Linked DNA regions of Drosophila melanogaster. Changing the gene in region 2 together with the main gene of any one other region gives a genetic interaction. Each region holds a gene or a part of one and is shown on either strand. Other genes may lie near its edges. The genes, in order: fng and mirr.

What was found.
Region 1: of mirr (region 2) and fng, changing one suppresses a phenotype caused by changing the other (phenotypic suppression), as found in Drosophila melanogaster (one study listed by BioGRID).

The regions. Positions count from the first base shown.
Region 1 is NT_037436.4:20,947,765-20,951,686, reverse strand, and holds the start of fng (fringe), read left to right. Parts: upstream 1-2,174; 5' UTR 2,175-2,385; coding exon 2,386-2,517; intron 2,518-3,922. UniProt on the Drosophila melanogaster protein: Glycosyltransferase involved in the elongation of O-linked ligands to activate Notch signaling. Possesses fucose-specific beta-1,3-N-acetylglucosaminyltransferase activity; extends the O-linked fucose on the Notch EGF repeats.
Region 2 is NT_037436.4:12,691,343-12,695,264, forward strand, and holds the start of mirr (mirror), read left to right. Parts: upstream 1-2,296; 5' UTR 2,297-2,969; coding exon 2,970-3,011; intron 3,012-3,922.

The DNA.
Region 1 (3,922 bases), 8.3 Mb from region 2:
TGCATGCGAAGTTGTATGGTATTTTCAAAAGTGTTATTGAACAATTATTTTTTAATTTTTATGGAGATCTTAAAATGGTTTGGGATGTGTAAGTCCGAGTTGAGCACTGAGTCCGTGGCAACGCCTTCGGTTTACATTTTACAATCCTAACAAGGTTAGGCCGCCCGATAAACGGAGCTGCACTCGTTTGGTTATAAGGCTAGGTTGTGATCTGGGCTTTTCAGCTGAAGTTGCAGTTGAAGATGCAGTTGAAGTTGCAGCCGAAGTTGGAGGCTGGGGATCGGAACTTGGAACAGGCAGCTTGCAGCTGGAGGTGGCACATGCCTAACCGGCAACCAAGCTGCTATGCAAACACACACACACACACACACTTATACGGAGCGGAATGGTGGCCATGGCTACGAACTGTACATACGGAATTGCACATTAAAAATGAGCAATGGGAGTGGGCGGAATACGGAGGAATGGGAAGTGGGTTCCGAGGGTTTCGTGGCAAGCGGGCGGCTGATTCCAGCCGAGCGATGTCTTTTTCTGTGGCAGAACAAGGTTGGAATGGCCTGCGTCGCCGCTACCACCGTCTCTGCACCGGTAGAAAAATCATACTGACATAATAATAAACTAATAAAAATAATTAAAACACTGTGAAGGCCAATTGATTTTGCTTGCTCATTTGGGTACACACAATGGCCACTTAAGTTAAACAGTTTTAAAGCCCCTGGGTAATTGTCGATGGTTCTAAATTTATGCTAAGCTTTTGTATTTAAAGGGCTCAGTCTTAAATAATCTAAAACATTAAACTATTAAGGGTTGGATAGATTTTTCAGCTGACACAAGGCGATAAAAGTTTACATTTTTATGCTGTTCTCTTACCGAATTAAATACGAATTCACTATTTTCTTGCAGTGCTCCGCCGACTCTGCTTAATGCAATTCAGGCGAAAGGCGCACAAAGGGACAGCGAACAAGATGCCGAGTTGCTGATTGTGCGGGCAGCGCAGTCGACGCGGGCAGAGGTGTCCGCAAAAGCTTTTGTCGCCGCCACAAACATGGAATATGACAAGCTGGTGAGGAGTAGGATGGGATTCGGATTGGGATGGAATGGGATCGAGCTGAATGGGCTGAGAGCAGCAAGAGGAGGAGGAACGGGAAGATACTGCTGGATGGTGCCTGGCATGCAAAGCATTGTCAAGTGGGGAGCAGGCCAAGTGCTACACAAAAACCGAGCGACAAAGAAACGTCGCAGAACGCTGCCGACGCACGTGAGATGTGGATGCATTTGATGCACGGAGCGAGAAAGGGATGTAGAAATTAGTAGTTTGAAATTATTGTAAAAGAATTCTTCTGTTTGTATTTTTTAGTTAAATTAATTACTTATCCATAAATACACTGTCTAACTATTTCTAAGCCACTTAAAGGTATAATATAATCTGAAAAGACCTCTCTATTTGAAATAAAATTTCAATGGTAAATAGAGGAGCGGCTCTTGAATGTTTAAATAAAGTTTAATGCTTGCACTTTTTGTTCCAAGTGCATGATTTAAGAGTGTGTAGGCTTCCCTGTGTGGGCAGGGTAGGGAAGCCAGGCGAAAGAGCGATGGAGAGAGCGAGAGACAATGGCGACAATAAAAATGCGATCGCACAACATGCTCCACAGATAAGTTAACGCAAAGTGACAACGTACAACTTTTAATGGAATTGTCGTCGCCGACGGTGGGCGGTGGGGCGTGGCAGGGTAGTCAGGAGGGGAGTGGGGGTATATATGACATAGCCAAGAAGTCACCGCATTTGGAGCGCTGCCAAGTCAGTTGAACTATGTTTACTTTAAGGATACGGCCGCCACCTGGAAAAGGGACCTTCAAAGGCTGCCTTACACGATTCCGAATCCCCGATTCCGATCAGAAGTGGGCTGAGTGGGGGTCGACACACGAGCACATGAAAATTGCCTTCGGCAGCTACTGTGGCACAAGCTAAAGAGAGAGGATGAGAGCGAGCGCGATCGAAGAGAGAGCGCCAGCTGCTCCCATTGGAGCAGCTAACGTTTCCAATTGGACCAGCTCAAAGGGAATTCTCTCTCTCTCTTTCTCTCTCGCTACTCTCACCGCTTACTGGTCTTTCTGGTTTTTGTTTTGTTTACGATTTTCGCTGGAAGAAGAGAAGAGTAGATCGCGCTACCACAATCAGTTGCTTTTCAAGCTTGCCACAAGCAAGACGTCAGTGCGCGCGTGCTGCGATATCGAAATCGAAATAAACTTAAAAGATATCGTAATTTCAGAAATCGAGCAGAATTCATACGATCCAGGAAAAGAACCAGCTAATATTGGAATATAAAACCTACCCAGTGATCAAATCGGCGGTGCTTCAATGTGCGCGTAGTGGTCCGTAACCGTATGATGAGCCTGACTGTGCTCTCGCCACCGCAACGTTTTAAGCGAATCCTGCAAGCCATGATGTTAGCCGTCGCCGTCGTCTATATGACCCTACTGCTCTACCAGAGCGCCTACGGATATCCGGGCATCCAAGTGAGTTGCGAGTTCGAGTGGGCGACATAATCCAGCTTGCGTGGGTGTTGTTAGCGCTGCGAAACTGTCAAACGTGTGTGCTCCGCACTGATCTGCATAAGTTGCAAAGCTGCAAAGGCCAGGCAATTTGCATTATCCCCCTTTGATTCCGATCCCGATCGACGTCGACTCGTGCACTTTCATAAATCAACGCCGGCGACTTGAGTTTTGCAGCTGCGGCTTTGGCCGTTAAAAAAACCTTTTACGCCCTTGCCTTGCATATAAAACAGTTTCGGTGCTTGGCTTTTTGCGCTTTTATACCCTAATAGGGGGTATCATAATTGAACACAAATTTCGGCGAGGAAGCGTTTTAAAAGGATATACCCTACGATTGGTGATTGGATGGGGATCGGTATCACGGGGAATTCATTTGGAACTAAGGACTTGATTGCTTTAGAAATTGTGCAGAAGTTTATGTAGAGGTAGTGCCTAGCTTAGTGGTTTGTTTCAAAAATGGAAATATGATCCTGAATTTATTTGTTTTTTTTTTTTACAATTAAGCTTATATTTGATTGATTTAAGGACAAGAGAATGTAATTCTGTTAAAGTTGATGTTCAAAGATCGGCTCGCATTATCGAGACATTATTAAAATCCTAAAATCATACCATTAGGCACTTGGAATATATTTTTGAAAATCACCAATACTTTCCAATTCCCACAAGAGTATTCCCAGTTTCGATTACCGAAGATCCAGTCAACCGTTCCTGAATTTCTTGGTTTGCCGTCGGCAGAGCGTCGCCAAAGCTTTCAGTTGCCTGATTCCAGGGCCTGTCAGGGTTCTGAGCCCTGTCTGCTCTGCCCATTTATTATTGTTCTCTTCTTACTCTTGATTTTTGCATAAATTTTTGTGTAATAAAATATTGTGTGCTAATATTACCAAGGTGTGCGCTGCGAGGGGGGATCTCATGGAGGTGAATCTCAATGGACTCGTCCAGTGGAAAACCTTGTCAGTTGCATCACAGATAACAAATAGTTGAGGTCCGTGGGAATGGCCTTAGTTAGCCTCCTATTGCATTGCAAACACTTTTTGGCAGGGTTTTATGCGAACAGGCTATTTTTAGAACCCTTGAAATTCGAACTATGTGTCCACCTTCTAGGATTATCATATTTTAAAAACTTTAAATGAAACGACGCCATAAGAAAATAGTGCACATATTTTTAATCAGTTGCATATACAGATTCCTCAAAGTTTTCTTCCAACATTTCTTTATATAGTTCGATTTTTGTTAAATGAACCCTACTGCTGTAGTTATACCTTCAACTGTTACAGCTCCCTAACTAAGGCTTACAAATTTCATAATATTAGTGATTCGAGCCGCTGGCAATAGAGTTAAGAGCTCATAATTGAATCAGCTGCAGCATCCT
Region 2 (3,922 bases):
AGAATGAATGAAATCTTTTCATTTTATATAAAAATATCGAAAGTTTTAGTTTTGGAATATATTGGGGTAACACAATTTTTAAAAACAAAAATGTTAAGGGATAGACGCATTTTTGATTACAGTATATAGTTTTTTTAAATTAATTTTATTGTCAACTTTACTTTAAAATAAATTACCAAATTTTTGCAATATTTATTGATATAATATTACAAAAATAAAAAATATAATATTATTAATAATTTGGGAAATTTTAAGACATATTTTTCGGTTGAAAGTATTAAAGTCATTCAAGACAAATGTGAAATTTCAGAAAAATACACTCGTAACCCCATGTTAGTGACCTTATTACAGTGGTTGGTTAAACATTTATTCTGGCACTATCAATCCATTAATTTTCATGAAAACTTTTCCCCATGGAAAGGAAAACCGCCCAAATAAATGACTATCGAGAAACTAATCGTTAATGTCGGAGCAATGGAAAAGGATAAAGCTGCTGCTCGGCGATGGTGACTTCATTTAAATGTTGTAAGAATTTGTTTACTGCGTGTGCGACACACAGCTCAGGTGGGGGCGGTAGATGTGCGGTGGGTGTGGCAGATGCAGTGGCAGGGGCAGGAGCAGGGATAACCACCGATTGCCAGGAACGACAAAGTAGCTTTCAAATGTGCTCAGCACTCAGATACATATGTAGCACATAGACGCCATCCCGCTCTAGCAGCTGCCGTCACTCCTCTCGAGTGGCGTTTCAATTAATTAGAAAAAGTTAAAGAAACGCCACGGCAAAAACGAGAAGCGAAGTACGAAAATACAAAAAACAAAAAACAAAAAACAAATACCTACATAATAAAATGTAAGAGCGTATGTTGTAGCAGCAAAAGCAGCGACGGCAGCTGCGGTGGCGATTTTTGTTCTTCTCGTTTTTTCTTCTGATTTTTTTTTTTTCTTTTTTTGTTGGAGCAGCGCGAAAGATGCCACCAATCCAGCCAAAGAGCCAAAGCGGTCAAGAGGGGCGGTGCAGGGGGTTGGTTGCCAAAGGGATGGGGTAATGGGGGAGGAGGGGGTTTCTGGAGGGGAACGGCCGTAGCAGCGACTGCGGCAGAGGCGGATGATAAAACATTACCCATCGCGTTTGGCCCAACCTCTTCACGAGTCTCGTCGTTCATGTTCATCAGGCTTTTCTTTTTTCATCAACGGCGAAAAGCGAGAAGCGAGCGTAAACACTTTGCTTTCATACGTCGCGACATTCGTCTTGTTGTTGTTGTTGTTGTTGCGTTGTTTATGGCAACAACTACACGTAGCAACACCCACGGCAGCAGCAGCAGCAGCAACAGCAACTGCGGCAGCAGCAGCAAGTAGCAGCGTTGCAACAGCAACAGCAGCAGCAACAACAGCAGCAACATCATCGCCGACAACAACAGCAACAACATCGCCTACAAATACATACATCGGCATTTACAACAACACGCAATAACAGCCATTTTTCTAGTTGTTAAGTTAATTTTTTCATGTTCTGCCGCTCTCGGTGTTGCTGCTGCTGCTGCTGCTTCTTGTCGCCGCTGCTGCTGCTGCTGCTGCTATGCCATCTCGCTCGCACGCCAGCAAGACGACAGCCAACGCGAGCAAGTTGCGATACTACCGCTGTCGCTGCCGCTTGGTTGCGATTCGTGGCCAACGGCGCAGCGGCTATAGCCATCCCGCTCTCGCCCGGCCGCAGCTGGCAGATACTTTATTTATGGTCACACAGGCGGTAGATACTTTTTTTGTTGCCCCCACCCCTCCACCTAACCAACTGGTTTGCTGCGTCTCGCTCGCACTTGCAGCGAGATTGGTGGCTACGTTTCGGTAGGGGGTTGAGGGGTATCTACCGTAGCATACCGATTCCGATGCCGATTCCAATCCCAATCCCCTGAGTGCCACACACAGCCGGAGCGCCAGCCCACTTATAATGATAATCATTATTGCCGTTGTTGCCGTTCGTGTTGTCGTCGTGCCGCCTCGTTTGCTACTTTTTCCAGCGCACACAGATACTTTTCGCACGCACACCAGCGCACAGATACTTGGCCGCTCTCAAAAAGAGCAAAGAGAGCGCACGCACACCAGCGAAGGTGCGAGTAAAAATTAAGGGGAGAAACCCGTTTGTGCGCTCTCTCGCTCACACATACAAACGCGGCGCGGGCTATGTATCGATGTGGTGGTGCGTGGGCCTGTTCTTGTTGTTGCGCTGCGCTGTTTTTCGATTGTCGGTTGTCGTGTAATTCCCATTTGTCGTACACTTTGTAGTTGCTCAAGAAACTCATGTTAGTCTACTTTTGACTGTTACGCAGATTGTTCGTATCGTTCGTGTCCGCCGCAGTGCCAGTGCCGCAGTGTGAATAATAGTGCTCTCTGCCCGCCGCTCGCCGTCGTTCTGCGAGCTGGATTCAAATTCAGTACCCAGATTCAGAAACAGAATCAGATTCACACCCAGATACTACTATTTGCTGCCGCCGCCTCTGGTTCATTCGTGCTTCGTTTTCGCATCCTCCGGATAGAGCTGCTCCTCCCGAATACCGATTCTACCAATTCTACAAATTTAAACGACTCACATAAACGATTCCCGTCGAGCCGCCCGTCGGATTTTACGGATTTACGGTGCCCAGTAGCGCCTGTGTTGGCCAGCTAACTCGAGTTGGCCAGCTCCTTGCAGCCGTCGGCAAGTGCAACGCAGTGCAACGAAACGAATAACAAAAAAAAATAAACACAGCCCAAAGAAAGTAAACACTGAAATAGCTCGCAAGCCGGATCCAAAATCAACATAAAAACTAGTTCGGATCAATCACAAGATCACAGATCGCACAATCACAATCACTTCACTCGGATTATAAATCTATCTAAATACACATACGTCGGTTCAGTGCGCGAGTCCATCGGTGCATCGTAACTCTAAGATTTGCTTTATAGTTTTAGTTAAAAGCAAAAATTAATATTAAATGACAGTGCACAGTAATGAAACCGGTATCTGTTTAGTAATGGTGCGTATATCAATTTGTTTTTTTTCCCCCATTTTTTATTACTTGTAAGATGGTTCAGTTAATCGCTGCATTTTAGCTTGTCTGGCATTTGGATAGTGGCAATTAGATTGAAAACCCGTTCAGCTACGAGGCAAATCAGTGCAACACATGTAGATAAAAGCAGAAACAGTGGGATTACTCTGGGTTCGAATACCTTAGCATTTTGATTTGGCAAACGGAAGACATGGATTTAAAAATAAAACAGATTGAAAATGTCAGGACCACAAGTGTGCTACATTGGGCGAACAACACGCGAAAAACCGTCTGCCAATTCGGAAAATCTCTCTTATGCATCAATGTCTCTTTGGTTGTTAACCAAGCTGGCAAGGTCACCGCACATCGTGCTCAGTCACACTTGAGTGTCCAATAGGATTTTAGCCATAATAATCCCTCAGTGGTAACACGATCCCCAGTTAATATGGTATCCCTGTTCCAAAAATTTAATCGCTTGCACTCGACACTCGAGCATATTCATATATTTTCATATATGTATGTAAAAGCAACTTGTGGCGCAAAGTCGAAAGCTGAAACGGAATATCGGAAATATTAAATGCTCTTTAAACAAACATGAATGGCTGTCACTCTACCCTCGCCATCATAATGGCTACCCGAAAATAATTTACTTTAGCCGCAAAACGACCACTTCGAGTTGAGATATTTGTTGTGTTATAGTTATAGCCTGTAGCCATAGATAGTCGATAATCATCGGCGGTTGATTCAAAGAGCCGCATTGATAAGAAATCGTACGAGTGTATTGTGGATCCATCCAGCCATCCGGCAAACACCGGGAATTAATTTTTAATCGCATAGGGCCACTTGAGTTGTCACTTGATGAAAGCACGAGACGCAACACCGAACCGAATCCCAACTGC